7 linked regions of the Canis lupus familiaris genome follow. The protein of the gene in region 2 interacts with the protein of the main gene of each other region in a biochemical or structural test. Links are inferred from orthologs where the notes say so. Each region holds a gene or a part of one and is shown on either strand. Other genes may lie near its edges.

What was found.
Region 1: of the proteins of SRC (region 2) and PTPN6, one has a biochemical effect on the other in vitro, tested with the Homo sapiens proteins (2 studies listed by BioGRID). The link is inferred for Canis lupus familiaris from reciprocal best matches to the Homo sapiens genes SRC and PTPN6.
Region 3: the proteins of SRC (region 2) and ERBB3 form a complex in vitro, tested with the Homo sapiens proteins (2 studies listed by BioGRID and IntAct, with this or other methods). The link is inferred for Canis lupus familiaris from reciprocal best matches to the Homo sapiens genes SRC and ERBB3.
Region 4: the proteins of SRC (region 2) and LDB3 interact in a test that uses a peptide from one of them, tested with the Homo sapiens proteins (2 studies listed by IntAct, with this or other methods). The link is inferred for Canis lupus familiaris from reciprocal best matches to the Homo sapiens genes SRC and LDB3.
Region 5: of the proteins of SRC (region 2) and PTPN11, one has a biochemical effect on the other in vitro, tested with the Homo sapiens proteins (2 studies listed by BioGRID and IntAct). The link is inferred for Canis lupus familiaris from reciprocal best matches to the Homo sapiens genes SRC and PTPN11.
Region 6: of the proteins of SRC (region 2) and ENO1, one has a biochemical effect on the other in vitro, tested with the Homo sapiens proteins (4 studies listed by BioGRID). The link is inferred for Canis lupus familiaris from reciprocal best matches to the Homo sapiens genes SRC and ENO1.
Region 7: the proteins of SRC (region 2) and MUC1 form a complex in vitro, tested with the Homo sapiens proteins (2 studies listed by BioGRID, with this or other methods). The link is inferred for Canis lupus familiaris from reciprocal best matches to the Homo sapiens genes SRC and MUC1.

What each region holds. Positions count from the first base shown.
Region 1 is NC_049248.1:7,997,202-8,001,264, reverse strand, and holds the start of PTPN6 (tyrosine-protein phosphatase non-receptor type 6), read right to left. Parts: upstream 2,801-4,063; 5' UTR 2,620-2,800; coding exon 2,612-2,619; intron 2,522-2,611; coding exon 2,399-2,521; intron 2,200-2,398; coding exon 2,005-2,199; intron 1-2,004. UniProt on the Homo sapiens protein: Tyrosine phosphatase enzyme that plays important roles in controlling immune signaling pathways and fundamental physiological processes such as hematopoiesis.
Region 2 is NC_049245.1:26,537,273-26,541,499, reverse strand, and holds the start of SRC (proto-oncogene tyrosine-protein kinase Src), read right to left. Parts: upstream 2,801-4,227; 5' UTR 2,727-2,800; intron 1-2,726. UniProt on the Homo sapiens protein: Non-receptor protein tyrosine kinase which is activated following engagement of many different classes of cellular receptors including immune response receptors, integrins and other adhesion receptors, receptor protein tyrosine kinases, G protein-coupled receptors as well as cytokine receptors.
Region 3 is NC_049231.1:757,162-761,151, reverse strand, and holds the start of ERBB3 (receptor tyrosine-protein kinase erbB-3), read right to left. Parts: upstream 2,801-3,990; 5' UTR 2,708-2,800; coding exon 2,626-2,707; intron 1-2,625. UniProt on the Homo sapiens protein: Tyrosine-protein kinase that plays an essential role as cell surface receptor for neuregulins.
Region 4 is NC_049225.1:35,253,842-35,257,341, forward strand, and holds part of LDB3 (LIM domain-binding protein 3), read left to right. Parts: intron 1-2,634; coding exon 2,635-2,786; intron 2,787-3,308; coding exon 3,309-3,384; intron 3,385-3,500. UniProt on the Homo sapiens protein: May function as an adapter in striated muscle to couple protein kinase C-mediated signaling via its LIM domains to the cytoskeleton.
Region 5 is NC_049247.1:10,373,568-10,377,067, reverse strand, and holds part of PTPN11 (tyrosine-protein phosphatase non-receptor type 11), read right to left. Parts: intron 885-3,500; coding exon 718-884; intron 1-717. UniProt on the Homo sapiens protein: Acts downstream of various receptor and cytoplasmic protein tyrosine kinases to participate in the signal transduction from the cell surface to the nucleus. Positively regulates MAPK signal transduction pathway. Dephosphorylates GAB1, ARHGAP35 and EGFR.
Region 6 is NC_049226.1:62,793,765-62,795,923, forward strand, and holds the end of ENO1 (alpha-enolase), read right to left. Parts: intron 2,048-2,159; coding exon 1,989-2,047; intron 930-1,988; coding exon 860-929; 3' UTR 501-859; downstream 1-500. UniProt on the Homo sapiens protein: Glycolytic enzyme the catalyzes the conversion of 2-phosphoglycerate to phosphoenolpyruvate. In addition to glycolysis, involved in various processes such as growth control, hypoxia tolerance and allergic responses.
Region 7 is NC_049228.1:42,329,682-42,331,697, reverse strand, and holds the end of MUC1 (mucin-1 precursor), read right to left. Parts: intron 1,941-2,016; coding exon 1,791-1,940; intron 868-1,790; coding exon 793-867; 3' UTR 501-792; downstream 1-500. UniProt on the Homo sapiens protein: The alpha subunit has cell adhesive properties. Can act both as an adhesion and an anti-adhesion protein. May provide a protective layer on epithelial cells against bacterial and enzyme attack.

The sequences.
Region 1 (4,063 bases), on a different chromosome or scaffold from region 2:
GGTTTGGGGGGCTCTGGGGGGCTCAGGATAACATCACTGGAGGGGAGACTGGGGCTCAGAGGGGCTCAGAAAGGGCAGAAAGCAGAACTAGGACCTTTCCCCGAAGCACACCCCCTTCCCAGGAGGAAACCGTAGCCCCACAATGCCCAGCCCCACAGGAAACCACGTGATGGAAAAAACACAAAACTCCTTCTGGGGAGAGAGTGAGAAGTGAGGGTGTGAGGTTTCCTCAGCCCAGGGACCAGGGGAGGGGGCATTTTCCAACCGCAGGGATGGGGGGGAGGATGGAGGAGCACATGGGTCCTGCCCAGACACACTCCTGCCCTGTCCAGGAGCAGTACCTGGGAGGCCACCCCACCCCACCATTCAGGGATAGACCAGGGCACACCCCACACACACACGCCCACTCTGGCAATGGGGTGGGGGCTGACCCTCGTCCCCCTGGCCCAGGATGAGGAAGTTTCCATGCAAATATCAGGCTGACCACAGGCAGAGTGCTAGCCATTGGCGGGACAAATGCAAATTCCCTCAGAGGAGGAGGGGCAGCCTCCAGAGCCAGGAACACAAGAGAGGGATGGAGAAAGAGCCTCCCATACACAATCCCAAGGTCAGGGGTTAGCCAGGTGTCCTGATGTGAGGGACCAAAAAGGCTTCTGAGAGTCAGCTTCCCTGGCCTCAATACCCTCTATTCTTCCCTCCCTGCCAGCCCCCAGCTCTGTCCTCCTCCTGCTACTCCAGGCCTCAGGCTCTCCCAAGGAGAGCTTCTCCTTCCTTCTTCTGGCTCCATCCACAACCTCCTGCTCCTCTAGGGGCTCCACCAGCCCACCATCTAGCAGGGCAGAGGCTGGTTTAGGCCAAAGAGGAAGAGAGGACCCCAAGAGTTCAAGAGGGTCTGAGTGGCAAACCCCCATGAATGCTGTCAGCAGGATGGAGGAAGAGGGCAAAAGGGTGTGGATACCAAGAAAGGACCAAGGAGGGCCACCATGAGCAGTCATCCAAGCTTGGGCTTTACTCCTCCAAGAGGTGGCTTCAAAGGAAACGGATTGATGGCTTCATGTTGGCTGGAGAATGGTGTCCAGCAGTGGGCCACGAGGCCCTCACCTAGGCCTCATCCTCACGCATCTCAAACTTGCCATCAGTGACTTGAACAAAAATACTGGGCAAGTTAAGAGGCATGCATCTTAGAAAGAGTGAAAACTGATGGAATCAAGGTCCATCATTAGGTCAACAGTCAATGCACAAATACAGGACAAGAGCAAGCTGCCTTGGCCCCAGAACGTAAAAAAAAAAAAAAAAAAAAAAAGCTACTAGAATTATTCGTCTGCCATTCACCTTAATGGAGCTGTCACTGGGATACAGCTGCTGAAATAAGCCCCCAGTGTAACGCTGAGTGTTCAGGCTCCCAACCCCCACCCATGCTTTAGGGAGACCATGTGAGGGGCAGCCTGCCCGGTCCTGGAGACCACATCTTTGGAGCCAAAGGGGACAGGAGGGCAATGCCTTGAGTACTACCCTGTGCCCAGATACTAGGCCCCTTGCACACACGACCATATCATAGTTATCCACCGATCTGTGTTCCAGGCAAGGGACTGGTCAAGCTCTCCCAAGTCCCCAAAAGGAGACCCGTCATCACTGTGTTACTGAGATAAAGCATTAAATGTCCTCATAAATATAAGTCCCTATGTTCCTCCTCAACATCAATCTCTCCATGTATTAACCTGTCCTGGAGGAAAGAATAGTATGGCAAGGCAGATTTGTTTCCACAGAAGGAAGGAGAGCTTTCTAACAACAGAGCTGGCCTACTACCAAATGTAGCCACTAGGCCTCTCCATCACTAGGAGGGCCTGGGTTGCCAGCTGGTGGAGACCCTGGAAAAGGGGAAGGTGATGTCCCCTGAGGCATGAGCCTGGGATCACACAGAAGAAAGAGGCCCACAGAGCCCTGGGCAGGACAGGGTGGAAGTCAGCCCGCCTCCACGTGGGAGTGGGCCAGGAAGCCCCTCACCTCTCACTGGTGGGGTCGGAGCAGTTCAGCGGGTACTTGAGGTGGATGATGGTGCCATCTCGATCCTGCAGGACGCCTTGCTGCTGCGTGTAGTACTCCACTAGCTCTGTCAGCGTCGCAAACTTTTCCCCTCCATACAGGTCATAGAAATCTCCTGAGTTCTGGATCCGAATGTGGGTCACCTGATCCCCCACCCTGCAGGGCACCGGGTGGTGAGACCAGTGGGTGCAAGAGGAGAGATGGGGACAGAGGGGGGATGGGCTGAGGTCCAGAGTCCCAGGCACACACAGGGGGCGGGGGGGACACATTGGGTGCCGGGGCCTGGGGAGTCGGCACTGCCACAAGGGAACCAGAAGGGAGCCACTTGCCCTGGCCGGAGTTGGGGGCCACCTACCTGACGGAGAGGGAGAAGTCACCCTGGTTCTTGCGACTGGGCCGGGCCAAGAAGCTTCCATGGACACCGCGGCCCTTGAGCAGGGTCTCTGCATCCAACCCGCTGAGGTCTCGGTGAAACCACCTGGAGGCCCGCAGAGCAATGAGGAGAGGTCCTTCCTTCCATCCGCAGGGCCCCCTTGCCTCCTGCATCCCGCAGGCCCCAGGACCTTACCTCACCATCCTGGGGGCTCCCTGAGAGGAAAGGGGTGCAGGGAACGAGGTGCACTGGCGAGTCCGGGCGGGCAGAGAGCTCTGGGCCTAAGGCCTCCACACGGCTCTGCTCGAGCGCCCAGGCTGCCTGTCAGCCCTGGCCGTGGGTTCTGGGGCTGCCACTCCACTGGCCCCAGGGCCAGCCGGCAGCAGGGCGGGGACAGGAAGGGGCGCGGCCGACCCCTTGGGGGAACTCACTGTACTTCTCGTTTTAGGGCAGAGCGAAGAGAAGCCAAGCGGGGTGGCAGTGGGGGTGGGGATGGGGCCCACTTCCCACACGGCTGCCATCAAAGGCTCCAGGAGCATGGCACTCTGCAAACGTGACGACACACAACATAGGGACACAGCTATGCCTGGCACCTGATGTGTGGAGGCCACGCTTCATAAGCATGAACCCCTGCAGTCACAGGCCATCTCATCTTCCTCCACAGGCTGCTTCCACACACCCTTCCCCTCCCCTGTCCAAGCTCGTGATAATGGTGACGGTGACAACTCTCGTTCCACAGAGTCTCACTGTAGGCCAGGCACCATGCTAGCATGTCATTTATGTACCTCATCTGGTTTATTCTTCCTAATAGCCCCACAAAGCACATGCTGTTTTTTCCCCCATTTTACAGAGGAGGAATCTGAGGCTCACAGAATGTAGGGAACTTGCCTGAGGTCAGCCAGTCGGTAAGGGGTGGTGCTGGGATGTGACCTCACACTGTGGTTCCCAAGCCAGGGATTTTAGCAGCTGTATGCCAGCCCCTGGGGACTCAAAGGACAGAGGTGGGGACCTCTTGTCCACTGGGGGCTGCAGGGAAGGGGATACTTTATTAGAAATAATAGCCAAGGCCAAGCAGATGCTTGCAAAGGGAAAGGCACCCTCACCTCCTCTGGCACACACATCTGAAGAGGCACCACCGGGACAGAGGGATGGACAGAATGACTCCTGCACAGCTGTCAGACTTACACCTTTTCTACTTCTTATCCCAAGTCTTTGCCCCACTGTGCCCTAACCAGGTAGTGGAGCCAAGGAACAGAATGCAAGGGGCAGCAGATCTAGGAATGCAGGTGGGGGTAGCCCCCTTGGGTATGTCCACCCTATGCCTGAGCCATAGATTCTTGTCAAGGGGTCTGGTCTGAATCGGCTCAGAGCTCAGGACTGTGACTAGGGGCCTGTCTCCTGTGGGCTGGGGACCGAGGTCCCTGCCATGATTGATATTCTCAGGGCTGGTTGACATTGAGAGGCCCTACACCCCAGGAGCTCATGATGATCCCCATGTGTAATTCCACATACAAACACTGGGATCCCTGGGTGGCGCAGCGGTTTGGCCCCTGCCTTTGGCCCAGGGCGCAATCCTGGAGACCCGGGATCAAGTCCCACATCGGGCTCCCGGTGCATGGAGCCTGCTTCTCCCTCTGCCTGTGTCTC
Region 2 (4,227 bases):
GAAGGTCAAACTCATCCCCAAGGCCCACACAGCTCCATATGGTCCAGCCATATGAGTGATTACCCCCCAAAACACCCCCTACTTCACCTCTCACCCACTCTCCTTAATTCTCTGTGCTCCGAATTCAGAGGCTTTCCCATCGTTTCTCTATAACACACACTTCCCCACCTCAGGGCCTTTGCACATGCATTTCTCTCTGCCTGACAAGCCCTTCCCCAGCTCCATGCTTGGCCAACTCCTACATACTTCCTTCAAAATTCCTCTGCACCCCACGCCTCTCTCTCTGAGCCCTTATCGCATCTGTGATTATATATTAATTTATTTGGTAACTTGTTTGCTATTTGGCTCACCCTCTAGACTCAAATATCTAGGAGGCCAGGGACCTGTTCACAATTCTGCAGCAGGATGACCACCTCCACAATCCCAGCAACCCTGGGAAGTGTCCGAATAGAAGAAAGAGCACCCTCCCTCCTTCTTTGTTGAGCAAACTTCTTGCCCTCCCTCACCTCTTGGAAGCCCCCTGATGCCTCCTACAACTCCCACTACTAACCCCTTCGCCACACTGCTCAGCCTGAGTTTGAAGCTCCTAGCATATAGCAGAGGCTCACACAGGGTCACGGATGTTTGCATCTGGGCAGGTTTGGAAAATGGGATCAACGAGGACCAGGGGGTTGGGGAGTGTTGTCAGCAGGTCACTGAGCCATGTCCTCCCTGGCTCCTGGGGCTCGCGGGAGCCAGACATCCCCCCCCACCCGCCAGGTCACAATCAGGAAGAAGCCACAGCAGGCACTGTGCTGTGAGCTGGGGAGAGTTCATGCTCCAGGAAGAGGATGGGGAGGGGAGGCAGAGCCAGGGAGCCTTCCTGGAAGAGGTGGGCCTGAAGCTAAGTCTTCAAGAGTAAGAACAGATAAACAGCTCACAGAGGAGAGGGCAGTCCTGGCAGGGACACCTACAGGAGGAAAAAAGCCCAAGAGCCACACAGAAGGGCTTAGGCAGGCAGTCAGCTGAGAGAGGTGACACACTGTAAATCACTTCCCTAGGTGGAAAGACCACATCACCGAGGCACACCACATCACCACATCCCCAGGAGGACCTCGTGGCTTCCATGCAATCACTCATCAATCTGTATGGTCTAACACCGTTGCATGCCTCGTCCCATACTGAGAAACCCCTGCTCCCCCCACACTGGAGGGGTCAAGGGCAGCCAAACTGGGGTCTCTGAAGTGTACGTTCTCATTCCAGCTTCAAACTGTGTGGGCTTGGTCAAGTCCTTTCCCCTCTCTGAGCCTCGGTTTCTCCATTTGGCCTATTTTATACTTAATAAGACTGAGGCCCAAGGAGGCAGCGAGTTGCTCGAGGTCACACAGCTGCTGGGTGGCAGGATGGTGCTGGAGTTGTTTCTCAAGGGGCTCTCAGGTGGCTTTTCGGACACCAATCCATCCTCTTCTGGACACAAGCCCCACTGGGACCAGCCCCCTCAGCCCCCTCCCATTTTAGGCAATTCATCCAGTGAAGCACTCATTTATTGAGCACCTACTACACACTGAGCTCCTACACGTAGAAGTGCATATATTCTTCCCCCATTCCACATGTGGGTGCTCAGAGGGGCAGTCCCTTGGCCCAGGTCACCCAGGGAGACAAGAAGTCTTGTCTGTCCAGCCAGGAGGCTGACAAGAGGGGCACTAACAGGACCCGCCTGGTCTATGCCTGAAACCAAGTCTGATCTCAGCAGCACTGTGTCTGGGCCTGGACTCATCCCAGGTAACCCAGGGACCCCTGCCCCAAATGTAGAGGTCCTGAAGCTCAGGAAGCCCCACTTGACAAGCCTCACTTGTTCGGCCCACCGGCCAGTGAGCCTGAAGGCCCCAGAGGCAGAACTGATACCCCATAGGTGAGCCTCTTCTGTTTACCGTCATCCTTCCACCAGCCCAGCAGTCCCAGCCAGACCCACCTGCCACTGATCAGGACCCCCAGATCAGAGAGGGTAGGCAGTTGCCTGACCACACAGAGCTGGGCAAGCGGCAGCCCCTGTGGGCACCTAAGCTCACCCCCAACCGAAGCCCAGGCAGGGAGATGGACCCAGCCTGGTGGAGAAAACCCAAAACTTTTGCCAACTTCTGAGCAGGCAGGCGGCTGGGCCTGCCAGGGGCGAGGCTGGGGGCTGGGGGCAGTGGACCGACAGTGCGGCCCTGTCCCTTCCAGACCCGCGGCACCAGGCCCTACCCCAAGCTCCAGGAGGACAGGGTGGTCCTGGGGCCCCGGCCCGCGCCCCTGGCTCGGCGCCCCCAGGCCCACCCTGCCCGCCCCCTCTCCACCTCCCATCCCGGCCGGGGGCGCCAGGCCCGGCAGCCGCGGCCAGAGGCGGCGCCGACAGGCTCAGATTTCAGATTTGGCCTAGACCTGGCCCGGGGGCTCGGCCGGGCTCCCGCTCCGGGGGCTCCGGGGGCTCCGGGGGCTCCGGGGAAGGGGGAGCCGGCGGCGGCCCCCGCGCCGGCCGGACCCCGAGCCCCCGCCCGCCCCCTCCCCCCCAAGGCATCACAACAAAAGGCCGCGCCGGGCAGGTCCCCCTGCGCCCGCCCAGCGCCCCGGGATCGCGCCTCGGACCCGGCGAGGCCGGAGCGGGGCCCCGAGCCCCCCGCCGCCCGCCCTCCGACGCCACGGGGTCCGGGCGGGGCTCCCCCGGGCCGGCGGGGACCGGGGCCCGCGGAGGGGCGGGGGGCGCTCACCTGGGCCGCTGGGCGGCGGCGCACGGGCGGACGGACGCGCGGGAGGGCGGACCGCGGGACGGCGGGGTCGGGCACTCGGCGGCCTGGCCGCTCCGGCTCCCAGGCCGGAATGGATTCCGGGCCGGGAGAGACAGATCGGGAGAGAAAGGGAGGAGGAGGCGGCGGCGGCCGGGGAGGGGAGAGGAGGGAGGGAGCGCGCGAGCGGGGAGGAGGGGCCCGGCCGGCCGCCGGGGGGAGGAGGAAGGAGGAAGCGTGCGGGGCCCGACTCCCCGCGGTGACCCGGGAGAGACCCACGCGCGGGCCCCACCCCGTGGGCGCAGGAGCCGCAGGAGCCGGGGTGCGGAGGGGCAGGCGGGGGGCGGGGACACAGAAACCCTGCCCCCACCCCGACCCGTGAGAGCGCCCCACCCTGTGGGACCCCTAAATACCCCCCAGCCAAAATGCCCTCCCTAACCGGGCCCAAGCACCCGTCCTGCTGACCCCAAATCCACCTCTTCCTCAATTACCGGTAATAAGAATAATAATGTCAGCGCTAACGGAGCCTTTGCTCTTTCCCAGGCACCATGCCAATGGCTCAGGTCGACTTTTAAAAGGCTCTATTCCTAACAACACCTAGGCTGGGCAGGCTGATGATTATCCCCATTTTACAGATGAAAAACTGAGGCACAGAGAAGGAAGTCACCTGAGGAGAACCAGGCCTTGGACCCGCCTTGACTTGAGTTTCCCAAAGCAAGGACCGGGGCAGGAGGAACAGTGTAGGGAAGAGCAACATTTATTTTAATAGATACACGTTCATTTTATATTTTATTTTATTTTTTTAGATTGTATTTCTTTTCAGAGAGAGAGCAGGGGGAGGGGGAGGGGCACAGGGAGAGAGAGAAGCAGACTCACTGCTCAGCAGGGAGCCAGTTGCAGGCAGGGCTCCATCCCAGGGCCTGAGATCATGACCAGAGCTGAAGTCAGGTACTTAGCTGATTGAGCCACCCAGGTGCCCTGATATATGTTCATTTTAATGTGCATTTAAAAAACAAAACAGTAACTAAGGCAGCTTATCAGAAGTCATTGAGTTTTAGATATTCCTGCTTATGAGGGGGCTGAAGCCAGTATTTAGTGGCAATCACACTTCCCAGAAAATAAAGAGGCAAATTATATCTGGATGCAGGGGGCAAGGAGTAGAGCAAAGAAAAGGGACAATAAGGAAATGCTGCTTTAGGCCACAAAGGCTTCTGCAAACACTATGCCAACAATCTCACCCCATGCTCCAAAACTGCACCCCACTTTTGGCTCTTCACTAGTCCTCCTGGAATCATGGCATAGGGAAGGGTGAGTGTGAATCCAGCTTTAAATACCATCCCTGTTTTGTCTCTCCTTCTTTGAAATTTCTCCCATTTCACAGATGGGAAACTAAGGCCCATCCAGGTCAAACAGCACCAGGCCTCGGCTTCTCTTCCCAAGAGGAGCTGGGAGGTGAACCCTAGAAGAGAGGAGGCAAAGGCCTCAG
Region 3 (3,990 bases), on a different chromosome or scaffold from region 2:
ATGGCAGTCTTGGGGGTTCACTTGCCCTTCTAAGTATGGAGGACACAGGGGCTAAGGGAAAGGCGGGACCCCGAAGCCCCACCCCTCTCCCCTCCGCTCAGAGGCCGGGGGAGGGTGGGGGGTAGACACCACCTGTTCTCACCACCCTTCCCTGAGGCGCTGGCAGTTTAGTAGGAGGCGGGAGTGGGAACGGAGGAGGAGAGATTAGTGAGGCTCCAACCCCTCCTCCTAGATACACCCCTAGTCTGACCACTGGACTTTGGAGGGCTCCCATCCCCTTTCACTCCCCACAATGGGAAGGAAGGGGGTGGGCTAGACCCAGCAGAGGAGTAAACTGGCTGGGAGCTCCCAGAGGAGCCTGGGAACTCTAGGGTCCTGGGGCTGAAAGTAAAGAAACTAGGAAGGTTAATCATTTAGGGAACAGCCCCACCCTAAACCCTTTCCTGGTAGGACACCCCCTCTTGCAAGTCAAGGCGCCAACCGCTCTCCCCAGATAAGGGAGGAGCCAAGATTTCTGCATGGAGAAGTGGGATATGTATGTGATGTGTGTGTGTGTGCACATGCACGAGGGACACACACGCACACACCCACAGACAAGCATGCACACCGCTCCCCGCTGGCCCAGAAATCTATACTGGTTCTGTCCTCGGGGTTCCTTATGAGGAAGTATTTCAGGTGGCCCCATCTATCCCACCTGCCTTAGGTGTCTGTGCAGACTCTGTGTCTGTGCCTGGAAGGCTAAAGGGTTAGAGGTCCCAGTTCTCTGCCATCCTGAGGGTAAAGTCCATATTACACAAACAGGGAGCAAAGGGCCTGCTCAGGAAGAGAGCGTGAAAACCACCTCTAAGGAGGAACAGGCAGCATGGGGAGGAGGGAAGGGGGAAGAGAGTAAGGAAAAGCCCCACTGTACCCGGGGACCAGGGGCCTAGGGAGGGGCCTGGCACTCCTTTGGTAGAGAGCACTGGGGTGGGTCGACCAGGAATCTTCGTTGCCTCCTCAACCAGAGGCCTCCTCTCCAATAGCCCCCACCCCCATCACAGCCAGGACAAAGGGACTATAGAAGGACTGAGACAGGGCCGGATGCCCAGAGGCTGCAGGATCCAGATAAAGGGTAAAGAAACCCAACCATGCCTGCCTCCTGTCGCCCCAAGGGAAGGTGGCCAGGATCTGGGACTCCTGGGTTCCTGGTTGAAGATTCCAAGGGTCTGGATGGGACAGTGACCCAGTCATTCTATTTGGTCCCTCCCACTCCAGTCCCCAGACCCCCCCCTCCACTCCACCCCCCCACCAGCTGGGAGTTTCAAAGTCAAGATCCCAAGTCTAAATTTAGGCCCAGCAACTGTGGGGGAAGCACAGGTGTTTCTCCCACTCCCACTCTGGGGAAGAGGCCCTGGCCCTCCCAAATCCCAAGCTGAGGTCTGGGGGAGGGGAAGAGATCAACAGGATTCCTCCAATTCGAGCAACACCAGAACCCTCAGGTGTCCACGGTCCCAGAGACACCCCAAGGGGGTGGGCTCCGATGGTATGGGAGTGGGAGGAGGAAGAGAGGCGCAGTTTGACTGTTGTCTAGACTCCAGGAGACAGAGTCAGACAATAAGCAGAATGTAGGTGGGGGGGGAGCTGGGTCCGGGAAGGACTCCCAGACTGGAAGCTCAGGAGGTGGGAGAGGCGCCCTGTTGGTCTCGGGTTGGGGGAGAAAAGACAGACAAGTCCAGGCTGCAGGCCCCTAACCCTACAGCTCCTGGCCCAGACCCTGTGCGTAGTAGATGTTCAATAAATATTAGTTGAATTGATCTGGGTCTTGACAAAAACAAGAGGTTGGGGGATCCCTGGGTGGCGCAGCGGTTTGGCGCCTGCCTTTGGCCCAGGGCGAGATCCTGGAGACCCGGGATCGAATCCCACATCGGGCTCCCGGTGCATGGAGCCTGCTTCTCCCTCTGCCTGTGTCTCTGCCTCTCTCTCTCTCTCTCTCTCTCTCTCATAAATAAATTAATTAATTAAAAAAAAAAAAAAAACAAGAGGTTGGTCAAGCCGGGGACCAGCCAGCTTGGTTATCCTGAGGAAATGAGGGAGGTCGGCCTCTGCGTGGCCTCTCACCCCGATGTCACCTGTACTTGGCCCTTAGGTGCGCCTCCGCCCGTCCCGGGGCAGGTCCACGGAAGAGGAGGTGCGGCTCTTGTTTTTCCAAGAGTAGAAAACAACAACCCCCTCCGACCCCTCCCTAGCTCCGCCCTGTCGGCAAAACAACGAAACTGGAGGCGCCGAAACCGAGGGAGGGGGTGGGCTCACAGGCCGGGACCCCCACTCTCCGGGACCTCACCCCCCTCACTGCCGCCGCACGTTTGCGGAGCCGAGGCCCCACGGCCGTCCCCACAGGGCTCCCCAGGGGAGCGGGGTGTCCCGGGGGGCCCCCACCCCGACGCAGATCAGAAGTGGGGGGTCGGGAGCGCCGAGCCCGCCCGCAGCGCCCAGGGGAGCGGGGTGTCCCGGGGGGCCCCACCCCGACGCAGATCAGAAGTGGGGGGTCGGGAGCCCCGAGCCCGCCGCAGCGCCCCGCCGGGGTGGTCCCAGCGCCCCCCGCCCCCGCCCGGCCCCCCCCCCCCCCCCGGCGCCCGCGCCGCTTACCTGCCTGGGAGTTGCCCACGTCGGAGGCGCGGACCAAGCTGAGCAGGAAGCCCAGCACCTGCAGCGGCGCCGTCGCCCTCATGACGCCCGCGGAGGCGGCGGCGGCCCCGCGGGATCCGGCCCGGGGCCCCGACTAGGACATCCGAGCGGGGCCACCTGAGCCGCCAGCGACCGGCAGCGGCGGCGGGGAGGCTGCGGAGCGCAATCGGAGCCGGGCCGGGGCGGGGGCCCGCCGGGCAGGGGAGGGGGGCGGCGCTGCAGCCGGGGCTCGTCCCCGGGCCACGCGAGCCGAGCCGGGGTCGCGCCCGGACCTTCCCGGGGGCCGGGCCGAGGGGCGGCCGGGACTGCAGACGCCCTAGCGCCTCCGACGGGGAAAGGTGCTGGGGGCGGGGAGGGCGCCTCGAAGCCCGGCCCCTGAAAGCTGGCCGCGCCCATTAACCAGATCACTCAACTTCCCCAGCCGGTTGGGTCACTCGGGGCGGGGGGGCTCCCTGAATGTGAATGTTTTTCTCCGTGAGTGTTTGTGAGGAAGGCGCGGGCCGCACGCTCAGGCGCCTCGGTTTCCCCGGGACCCTTCCGGCCCCGTAATCCGTCCACGCTGCCCTGGAAGCCGAGCCCCGAGGCCGCGTGAAATCGCGCTGTCTCCGGCCGCTTCCTCCCGCAGACCCGGCGCCGGCCCGGCCTCTCCGGGGGATTTGGGGGGCGGGGGCGGGGCGGCCTCCAGCCTGGGAACAGACCCGAAGCCCGCCTTTTCCCTTCCAGCCCGGGAGGGGCTCCCGCACCTGTCGCGCCCCCTCTGCTGCCCCCCGCGGCCGCCTGGGAGAACAGCTGCCTCCCATCGCGGCCGGGAGTCCCCGCCGTCGGGGCGGCCGCGGCCCCCGCCGCCTTAATGCGCACCCGCACCCGCATCCGCACCCGCGCGGGCGCCTTGCACGCCCGAGCTCGCGCTGCAAAGGGGGGCGCAAGGCGGGCGCCCGAGGCCGCGGCCACGAGGGGCTCGGACCCCCGCCACCTCCGGCGGCCGCTCCCGGGTCCTGGCCCGGGGCTGGGTGGGCACCGGCGCGCGGCCCCCGAGCCCGGCGGGTCCCTCAGCAGCTCCCACGCGCGCCCCCTGGCGCCGGGGGGGCGCATTTCACAGCCCGAGGCCGGCGTTCCCGCCCCCGCCCGGGGGCTCCCGGGCGCCCAGAGGCTCAAGCCCAACCCCCAGCGCCTCGGCCAGGAAAGCTTCCTCCGGTCACTAAGTCTCCCGCCTAAGGCTCTAAGCTTGCTCGGGATCGCTGTCGCCCGGGCCCCCGCTCTCTGCGGGGCTCACCCCGGCCCCGGCGCTGGCCTGTCCTCGTCCTTGCAGGACGGTCCCGACCCCGC
Region 4 (3,500 bases), on a different chromosome or scaffold from region 2:
CTGTCCTTGCTCCCACGGTCATCTGTGCTCCCCCAACATGCTCCACCCCTGGCAGCCTCCGCTCTGTCTGGGGTCTGGGGTGGCCCACCTCGGGGCGCCTTACCACTCTGGAGATGGTGAGAAGCAGCTGGGGGGTGACCCTGGAAGGGTGGCCCTGAGAGGGTGACCCTGGTGTGGGGAGCCTGGTGGGGTGACCCCGGTGGGGGGGCCTGGAGAGTGACCCCGGTGGGGGGAGTCCAGTGGGACCCCCCCTAGGGTGTCCTGCTAGGGCAGCAGAGGCGCTATACAGCTCACCCGAGGAAGCAAGATGGTATCTGCCATTTCCGGGAAATGTGTGTAGACTAAGGTGGGGGACACAGCGAGAGGCGGGCAGACGATGCCGCACACCGGGGTAGACACCCACGGCCATGCCAGGGTAGACACCCACCACGCCGCAGTAGACGCCCATCCCGTTGGTGTAGACGCCCGCCGAGGCGTGTGCGGGCCCTCCGTAGAATTCTCTCCGGGTTTTCTCTGCTTGAGGATGTGGATAGTCCGACGTCGGGTATCACACGGGTCTGACCGTCGGGAAAGGCGATTTTCTGGGCGGGCAGCTTGCCCTCGGGAGTCCCCTCTCAGCCAGGAAGTGTTTTGTTTTCTTCTGTTTCTACCCTTTGTTCAAGCCCTGAAATCAGGAAATAACCGGCTCCTGTGGGTCGTGCAGGCCCCGCAGCCACGAGCCTGGGAGGGGCCTGCAGGAGCAGGAGAGGGGGCTGGGCCTGGTTTCCCAGAGCCCAGGGGTGCTGCCTCCGCTGTCCCCGCCACACTCAGCGGATTCGGGGCTGGGTGGGCGGGGGGGAGCTGTCTGGGCACAAGGGGCCAGTGCTTGTGAAGTTAGCTCGGGCCCAGGGCGAACGGGCGCTGCCACCGCAAGGACCCCCCTCTTGCTGCTGTCCCCGGGTTAGCACTCGCGGCTCGTGGCCTGCCTTGTAGAGCCCACGGGGACTGGAGGCTGGTGATGCAGTGGCCCTGCTCGGGGAAGGTCCCTCTGGGAGGCGGGGCAGGAGGCCGGCCAGAGGCTCACCCAGGCCTGGCACCCAGGGTAGGGGCCTTCCCCTGAGTCCTCCTCGGACTCCTTCTAGGATGGTCCCTCGGGCCAGCGCCAGAAAACGGCTCCCGCCAGCTCGAGAAGCCAGCCTTGTCCCTGGGGTAGACAGGAAGGTGACTGGGAAGCCGGGAAGCTGGCCGGTGGGCATGCTGGCGCAGAAGAGCCAAGGGCCGTCCTCCAGTTACAGCCTCCCAGAGGCCTGGCCGGCATTCCCGCGGTGTCCCAGGGGGGCCTCCCCGTGATGTCCTGGGCGTCGCGTTGTAAGGTCATTCTGCGTGTTACAGTAGGGGGTAGGGCTTGCCTGGTACTTCGTGCGGTGACACAATGTGGGGCGCGGGGTAAGGCCAGTCTCTGTGGCATTCCACGAGACGCCTTTAGAAGCGGAGCTTCATCCATCCCATGTGACGTCACTAGGGGTCAGCCGTCAAGTCATTGTAGGTGACATCACCCAGGCCCTCCAGAATTTTGCGCTTTGAGTGACGTCACCGAGGAGGGGAGTGGCTACCACCGCATTCAGCCCGCCGCTACCAGGGGCCAGGCTTGCAGGGTCTGGCCTTGTGCATGACGTCATCGGGAGAGGGTCTGAGCCACCATGACGTTCCACATGATGTCCCTGGAGTGCAGCCTTCCTGACGTGCACGGGGTATTCTCGGGGTGCCGCATCTGCAGTGTTCTGAGTGATCACACGGTGGGGGACCCTTGGACTCTAACACGTGGTGATGTCATTAGCTGGCAGGGATTTGGGACATGGTCCCCACACCTTCTGGAAGTACGGAGCCAGCCCCAGAACGCTGAGCCCTGCCGCCTGCCCCTGGGGACCTGGTTTCCCCAGGCGGGGTTCCCCAGCTCCCCCACATGGTGGCACTAGGCACCTGCACCGGGACACTTTGTGACGGTGCATCTGTCCTGCCTGCTAGCCTGGTCGAGTCTGCCGTGGTGCTGAGTGTCCGCTTGTACGCATACCCTCTCTCCCGGAGCCCAGAAAGTGCCCCGTGGGTGTTTGGGGGTGCAGACATCATAGTGCTACTGTACGGACTGCAGGTTAGGGGACCTGGTGTCACAAAGCCCCCAGGCCTCAACGGCTTAGCCTAGCAGAAGCTCATTTCTCGCTCGTGCGACATCTGATGCAGCGCTTCTTAATCATCCGTCCTCCAGGCAGCGACCGTAGGGCTCAGGTCCCTCCATTAGTGGCTCAGTGTCCCCCTCTGGGCCCTCTGTGCCCAGCCTGCCGACAAGTAGAGGGAGCGCAGCGTGGTAAGGACGGGTGCTGGGGGCAGGCCTGCAGGCGGTGGCATTGCTCCCGCCCCGGTCCCCTGGGCAGAGCTAGTCTCGCGGTCGCACTCGACGCAGGACGCTAGGCACAGGGGTGGCGGTGTGCCGGGTGGGGATGTCGCACGTGGCAAGCAGCGGGCACTGGCCACAGTGAACGAAAGAGGACCTGGCAGGCCTCTACTGGATGACCCCAGGGGACTCTTCCCCGACGACTGGCCCATCCTCAGCCCCCCCCTTCATGCGCTCACCCCCCCCCCCATCTGCCATCCTCTCAGATCACACCAGGAAGCAAGGCCGCCCAGTCCCAGCTCAGCCAGGGTGACCTCGTGGTAGCCATCGATGGAGTCAACACAGACACCATGACCCACCTGGAAGCCCAGAACAAGATCAAGTCTGCCAGCTACAACCTGAGTCTCACGCTGCAGAAGTGAGTGGAGCTCTGCAGGGCACGGGTCAAGGGGTGGGGGCATCAGGCCCAAGACAGGGTGTCCGCAGCAGCCACATGGGCCCGGCCCGTGCTGCAGGCTCACACGGAGAGGTGAGGCGGCCTCTGGACGGGAAGAAGGACCGGGCCTTCCACGCCTGCCATGCCTGAGTCTCACTGTACGGATGAGGTCGGGGGTGGGGGGCGGTCACAGTGCTGCCAGCGTGTGGGCAGGCGGGCCTGGCAGCTGGGGTCTTCCCTGCCTCCTTGCTGCCCCAGACAGCCTCCCAGGGACCTAACAGAGGCCATGAGTGCAGAGTGCCCAAGGGCCATGCCTCCTCCATCCTGACCAGGCCCGGGGCCTTCCTGGGGTCACTCCAGTCCGTGCGGTGGACAGCGGGCCTCGGGGTCCCTGGCCTGGCTCCCCAGCTCTCTGATGCTCTCCTGTCACCAGCCCTGCCCCCGCAGGAGCTCCCGGTCCTCCTGGCAAGTGTCCTCACTTGGCCCTCTTTCTGGTTTCTCCAGGTCGAAGCGCCCCATCCCCATCTCCACGACAGCGCCCCCGGTCCAGTCCCCTCTGCCGGTGATCCCCCACCAGAAGGTAGGTGCTGAGGTTGGCTGCGCTTCCTGGGGTACTGCGCCGAATCGGCCTGCCTGGTCCTGGCTTGGCGCAGCCCTGCCCTGCCCCTGCTGATGCTGTGGGGCGGACCCCGTGAA
Region 5 (3,500 bases), on a different chromosome or scaffold from region 2:
CAGTTTCCTCATCTGTGAAATGCAGATAATGGCACATACTTTACAGGGTTGTTGTGTGGATCAAATGTTAGTAATGTATGGAAAACACTGAGCACAGAGGCCGGAGTGGAGCACATGCTCAATAAACAGTAGCTTTTAAAAAACTGAAAAAGTTTCATACACAGCTACTTGCCCAATGTATGGATGAGATTTGGTAAACTAAACTTCCCCCGGTATAATCATGAAGCCCAGACTTGGGTGCCAGGAGGCTGTAAACCGTGGTGAGATGCCACGGGCAGGGCTTCCAGAGGTCTGGGGAGGGAGTAGTCCAAATCTTTTGAAGTGAACAAGTGTCTTATCAGGGGGAAAAATGCATCTTATTCCTGCAGCAGAAGAGAATAGGATCACAATCAAAGTGATTAATTCTAAACTACCATATTAAAAAAAAATCACATATACACACAAGCAAACATCACTAGACTAGGTAAAGGCTGCCTGAGGATAAGGAGTAAGTCCACCACCCTCTGCCCGGCCACCACCAATACCTGGCAGTACTGTAGGACCTATGAGAAAAATACTCTATGGTCAAAGTGTCCCTTCATGCAGTTTATGCATGTCTGAAACCGAGATGAAATTCTTCTCACAGTGAAAGGGCTGGGGGTGGGGAGGTAAAGACAAGCCCTGGGCATTAAGAGATGGGACAGGCTGCGGCCTGGAGAGGTGGCAGGGGCCGGTCACCTGCAGTGAACCACCACAGGCCCTGCATCCGTAATGCTCTCCTGCTTATGATGGACCTCCTCCAAGAAGTCCAGCACGCCCCCAGGGTCACTGGGCACTCCGTGGTCCGGCCAGGTCCGAAAGTGGTATTGCCACACGGTTCTCTCTGTATTCCCCTGGAGTAGAGCCAAGAAAAACCAGAAAAGAATTAAATAAATCAAGGGGTTGAGGAATCGCCCATTTCTGATCTTCCCTGGACCCAATGTGAGCCAATGGAGCAGACCAGCACCGAATCTCCCCACGTTCCATTTAAAGGTCAGACAAGCTTCCAAATCATGTCTCCTTTCGGATCTGGCTGAGCAATCCTGAAGGCAACTGTTTGCCTCTGTCATAAGAACCAAAATGTCGGGATCCCTGGGTGGTGCAGTGGTTTAGTGCCTGCCTTTGGCCCAGGGCGTGATCCTGGAGACCCGGGATCGAATCCCACGTCGGGCTCCCGGTGCATGGAGCCTGCTTCTCCCTCTGCCTATGTCTCTACCTCTCTCTCTCTGTGTGACTATCATAAAAAAATAAAAGCCATCTGTATAAATGGTATATAAACTTTAAAAAAAAAAAAAAAAAAAAAAAAAAAAAAGAACCAAAATGTCCAGTACAGCGATCAGTTCCTTGGGAGGCTACAACCTGAATCAGCTTTCTGAATCTTCGGTGGCAGGCAATGTCCATCTTCCTTGTCTGCGTGTAGCTCAATTCAGGAGGCAACTGAAGCCTCTGGGACTTGGGGCTTTCTTCCCAGCAGATAAGAAAACAGCTACCCTGTCAAGAGTATTCCTCTTTGTCTTTTTATACCCAGCCCTCATCCCCTCTCCCCAAACACCCACTTTTATTACAACATCATAGCAGTTAAACCTTCTGTTTAGCGCAAAGTAGGTAAGTAGACAGGCTTTGTGGTCAGAAGGCTGGGTTTAAGCCCAAATTCCAGCATTCATAATCACCGTCATCTCCAGGCATCTCTAAGCCTCAATTTCTTCATTTGCAAATAGGAATAATCATCTCTCTCACAATACAGTGAGAGGGATTAAACAAGACCAATTAAACACACAGCCGCTACTTGGCAGCAATAAAAGAATCGGCCACCGGTGCTCTTCTGAGGAGAGGGATCAGTAACCAAGGTCAAGACTACAGAAAACCATCTGGGTCTACCCACATGAGGTCACTGTAGCAGTGCTGCTGATTGCTCCATCTGCATCTTATGTATCTGAAGGAAATCCAAGCTAGTGACGTTATTAAAGGAGATTTTGAAAAGAAAGAAAAATGAAGCCAGTGTCTACCACCGGTGACCTTCAGGACATCCAAGGAATCTAAACCACAATTAAGATCTTTTCTTGAATTATGTGCATTTAATTTATCGATGTCACAATAAAAAATTTTCTTGACATTACCAGTTAGCTAAATCTCGGGGACTACCCCGTAAGGACACTCAAGGAAGGAGACCCAGCTGCCCTGAACATCCTGCTCCCGTCCTTGGTATATCTCTGTCCCAAGAGATCTCTGACCCAGCTCCTCCCTGCTAAGAAACTTAAATGAGATCATGTCACAGCACTTTAGAAAAAAATGTGTTCTATAAAAAGCAGGTAAAAAATGTGTTTCTATAAAAAGCACGTGACCAGCAATTCTGGAGAAATGATCTGTCCTGTGTCGGCACCTGAATCCACGGGTATAAGACACAAACCCAAATGTCAATATTTCCTGTACCTGCTGCTCAAAAATCTCTGTTAACAAGAAGATGGATACTTTATCACTAAAACTGAAGAAATATCAATCTGCTACTCAGAAACACCTGATAATAAGAAGATGGGTGGTTTAGCCTAAATCTGAACAAACCTATCTGGAATCTCTGGCCAGTGTACTCTAAATCTTTTCCATTTCAGCTTGACAGCTATGCTTTTCCAGCTTCTCAATCTCTGCAGCAGAGTAACCCTCCGCCTCATCCCACCATCAGCAGAATCACACCCCTGCTAATGTCAAAAGTCCCAGCATCCCACTCTGGACCACAGCCACCCAGGTTTCCAGCTACCTTTGGTCCCCTGACCATCACCTTATGGAGCTCAGCAGACCACTGAGCCCTCTTCTATTCTCCACCTGCCTTCTTCTAACCTGCTGCCCCACATCAGGCTTAGATTCTACATACTATTCTTTTTTGTTATTTTAAAGTAGATTCTACACCCAGTAGAATGGTCCAGGTAAAAGGTGGTGTGGTGGTGGCAGGGTGGTACTTTGGTACTTTCCATCTTTACTTTGGAGCCCAACATGTGGCTTGAACTCAAAACCATGAGATTAAGAGTTGGACGCTCAACCAACTGAGCCACCCAGGTGCCTCCAGAGTACTATTGTGACAATCACCCTCCACTGTACAGCTCTGCTCCCTCCACTCTCTCTCCATCCACAGCACCCCTGGGAAAAGCCCCAGGCCTGGACAAAACCAACCACCCACCTTCACCATTTTATACCCGAGGAACAGTGTCCTTGGAGAAAAATCACACCAGGGAATTGGTGTCACTAAACGTTCATATTCACCTATTCAAATGGGCACTCAGTGCTGCCTGAAAATTCACTGGATTCCTCATCATTTCTACACATTATTATTTGGTATTTTTCCCACTTTCCCCAGATAATTCATCTCTGATTTCCTTCTAATTCCAGTTGATGGCCTTGCTATAGACAATAGCAAGAAAATACATGTCAGCTCCTCTACCTGCATCTGTGGTCACCTCTTCCTCTTCCCGTTCTGCTGACAGAAGAACTAG
Region 6 (2,159 bases), on a different chromosome or scaffold from region 2:
TCTTGGTTTCAGGCTCAGGTCATGATCTCAGGGTCAGGAGATTAAGCCACCCCCACCCCCATGCTCAGCAGGGAGTCTGTTGGAGTCTCTCCTCTCCCTGTACTTCCTGCTTGTGCTCTAAAATAAATAAATCTTGGGGATTCCTGGGTGGCTCAGCGGTTTGGCACCTGCCTTCAGCCCCAGGCGTGGTCCTGGAGACCTGGGATTGAGTCCCACATCGGGCTCCCTGCATGGAGCCTGCTTCTCCCTCTGCCTGTGTCTCTGCCTCTCTCTGTCTCTGAATAGATAAATAAAATCTTTAAACAAAAATAAAAAATATATAAATAAATAAATCTTAAGAAAAAAAAAGTGTGAAAAGTGTGTGTCCTACTGAGCCAGCCAGGAGCCACTTGACCCTTTTGGGGACAACTCTTATAGGCCCAGAGCCCAGTGCAAGACTCACTGAACACTTGCCATGAGGAAAGACTCAGACTGCTTTAAACAAACACACACACACAGCATTTCTATGGGTCACTGAGGCCTTTTTATTCTGCACATAAAACCACTGGGGATCTTGCCTGTGGACACCTTGAGATTATTACATAGACAGACCTGGCTCCAGATGCTTGGTGGAAGTGAGGTGAGAAAGCAATGATTTGGACCAATTACATGTTTACAGAGCTAGGGTTCCCAGCAGGGTTCCAGATGTCAACTCTGGCTTCTGTAGCAATTCTAAGGAAGCTTTGAGAACATCACGGGGAAGGGAGAGGGCAGCTAACTAGCACAGGGCCCTGCCACTTTGGGCTGGGGGCCTTGAGCTGCCCGGGGGAGCAGAGGTCTAACGAGCTGACTCAGGACCACAGGGTGCGCCACCTGGACCTTACTTGGCAAGGGGGTTTCTGAAGCTTCTGCCGGCGAACTTGGCCTTGCTACCCAGTTCCTCTTCAATTCTTGGGAGGCAGAGGAGAGAGGGGGAGGGGGAGGAGGAAAAGAGAAGTCAAACATCTGTCCCCAAGGCCCACATCCCCTACCCAGATAGCAGGGACCAGCCTCCTCTGGATGTGGCTGCTCAGAGGCGGCAGGAAGAGAGGGGCATTTGGCTCTTGTGTCCACCCAGCTACCCCAGCAAGTGGGCCACTCACTGCTGCTTCTGCTTCCCAACCTCCCCCGCCCCCAGCATTTCCCAAAGACAAAGTAGAAAAAAGGGCAGAAGTGCTAGTTCTTGGAAGAGAAAGAAAAATGATTTTAATGAAAGGACAACCCAGTTTCTTTAGAGGTGGCATAAGGACACACACTCGGCGTGGATGTTACAGAATGACCGAATCCCCGGCACTCTCATGGCATGGGGAGAGCAGGGTGGTTAAAAAGTAAACAAATGTTTCTCGGAGACCTATACTCAGGTATTTACAGGTGAAATCTTAGAACTGGAATGTGCTTCCAGTTCTCCAGTAGAAAAGGAGGAAACGTAGTGTATGAAGAGAAGCCCCGTGGGAATGCCGACAGCTGCCCTGTGTGGGTCACAGGGCAGATGTCCCACCAGGCACCATTTAAGCAAAGGGTAACCAGGCTGACTCAAGACTGGAAAAAGGAACAAAAAAATAGACAAGTCTCCATGTTCAGGGGCCCCCAAGGACCCATTATGGTAATAAAAAGGGACCAGAACATCCAAAGGCACTGGGTTCCAGTGGGAACCTGCCTGTCCCCCTTCTATGAGGCCCGGTGTCCTCACTCACAAAACACAGTGCTGGACTAGTCAATCACTAAGGCTTCCTGCTGGCTCTAAAAATTCTAGGATCACATTATTCTAAAGGGGACCTGTTCCCTCTTCCACCACAAGATGGCAGCATGGTCCTCAGCCTCCAGCTCTGGGCCCATGCCTCAGGGGATGTAGGTTCTGTGCTGGGGCAGCCCCTAAACCAAGGGCCCCCACCTGCATACCCCCCATAGAACCAGGGCTCCCCCTGGAGGATGGTGCCCACACACTCAGTGCAGGTTGGCTTCCTTTTTACCTGAGGATCTGGTTGTACTTGGCCAAGCGCTCAGATCTGCATGGTGCACCCGTCTTGATCTAGAAGGGAAAAGAAAGGTCACTTGTGTTTGTCATGGATGCTCAATCTTCATGGGCATTTAGGGCAGAAAGGAGGGCATCAAGGGGCATCCAGGATCCCATCCTCCCCCTC
Region 7 (2,016 bases), on a different chromosome or scaffold from region 2:
AGGTGCCTAGAGCAGACCCTGCTGGCCAGGGAGGGGGCCAGGCCTGGCGTCAGCGTCCGGATCTAATGCTGTGCTTATCGTGGCCTGTTGACTCTATGTTGACTCTGCCTGTGTTATCACTGCCCACGGACTTACTTCACACCCTGGCAGCTAAGAATAGAGCCGCCTATGGGCACTGGGCCAAGGGGAGGCAAGGGCGTGGCTGCCACCAGCCCCCAGCCTGAGGAGAGGGGAGAGCCAGGGGTGCAGGTAGAGCTGGGTCACACTGACTTCGGGTCATGCTGGCCTCCAAGCCAACTCAGTTTCGTTTCCTCCTTCCTTGTGTGCCACCAGGGATGCCAGAGGTGACCTGTGCCCCAATGTCATCTCTCCACGTCTCCTGCTTTCCAGACAAAGCCTATTCCTTGCCTTCTTTCCCTGCCCCCAACTCCTGCAAAGATCCCTTCCAACGCCCCCCCAGCCTGCCCCCCACCTATGGGTCACAGATGACAGATCCAAAATTGGCAGTCAGCACAGATGAGGTCCCCATTTTATTCAGCCATGGTCTGGTTTGTACTTCCAACCCGGGGCTTTCTGGGTCAGTCCTCCTGGGAGCCCCTGTCCCCAAGGGGCTCGGATGGGCTTCATCAGCAGGGCTGACATGGGGTAGGGGACATGGTGGGGTCTGTGAACAGCCCACCTGAACCCCCTAGTTCACCAGCCCAGAACACAGTTGAGAGGAGAGGACTCTGGTGGGGGTCTGGGGGAGGCAAGTGGCATTGTCATCTGGACCGCTGGGCAGGCAATGTGCTCCTACAAGTTGGCAGAAGTGGCTGCTGGGTTCGGGTTCATGTAAGAGAGGCTGCTGCCCCCATTGCCTGCAGAAACCTGGGTGGAGGGAGGAGACATGGGCTGAGAAGCTGTGGGTTTCCTGGGAGGAAGTGGCTCCTGGATCACACCACAGGGTGGGGTAATAGGTCCGAGAGTCTAACTCTCAAAGGGTTAATTAGGAGAGCACCTGCTGGGCACTAGCAGCAGCCAGGTGACTGTAAACAGGGCGCAGGGCCACTCCTCCTCCCTCTGGTCCCCTTCACTGCCCCCCTCGGCTCTCAGCAGCCCCCTCGCCCTCCCCTACTGCCCCTTTCTCCTTCCATCGCGCTCCTCCAGCCCAAGCAGGAGTATCTGCCTCTGTAAGACTGGGAGAAGGAAGTCTCTGAGCAAAGAAAACAGGCTCAAGGGAAGGAAATTCCCCTCCCCCGACCTGGAGTGTCGCTCAGGTGGCCCAAGTAATTATTGACTAGGTCCTGGAGAGAAAGGCCAGGTGAGAAACAAGGAGGAGGGGTCCTCATTTCCTCCAGACTCCTGAGAACCCCTTGGCACCCAGGCTCACCTGGATGGGTTATACTTCTCCCCCACATCAGAGACCCCCTCTATTCCTGCCAGACTTTCTAAATCCACTCTCTGCTCCTAGGAGCTAAATGAATAGGGGCACAGGTGCTCATCCTGCATTGATGGCGTCACATCCCTTTCATCCTGGGTCCCAGGGAGCAGCTTGTGCTGCCAGTTCAGCGGAGCGGGGAATGCTGCTTTGGAAATGCTGGTCGTGGGGACACTCTCTTTTGAGATCCCCTTCCTCTCAAGGTCTCCTCCCCTCCCCCCGCTGTTCCACCCCACCCCTCCTGCCTCCGTGGGCCGCCACCACCACCACCACTTACTTGGTGCCCCTCTCCTATTCTACCTTCTCTGAGCATTTTCAGAAGCCCCGCACAGCCCAAACCTCTGCCTCCCTCCACCTGCGGGGCCCTCCTCACCTCCTCATAGGGGCTGCGTCTATTACCGCCAGGGGGCACATAGCGCCCATGGGTGTGGTAGGTGGGGTACTCGCTCATAGGATGGTAGGCGTCTCGGGTTGGAAAGATGTCCAGCTGCCCACAGTTCTTTCGGCGGCACTGGCACACAGTCTGGGAGAAACAGGGTGTTATGGGAGGCCATGGAGTTTCTTCTAGCAGGGGGGCTTCTGGCCAGGGCTGGAGACCT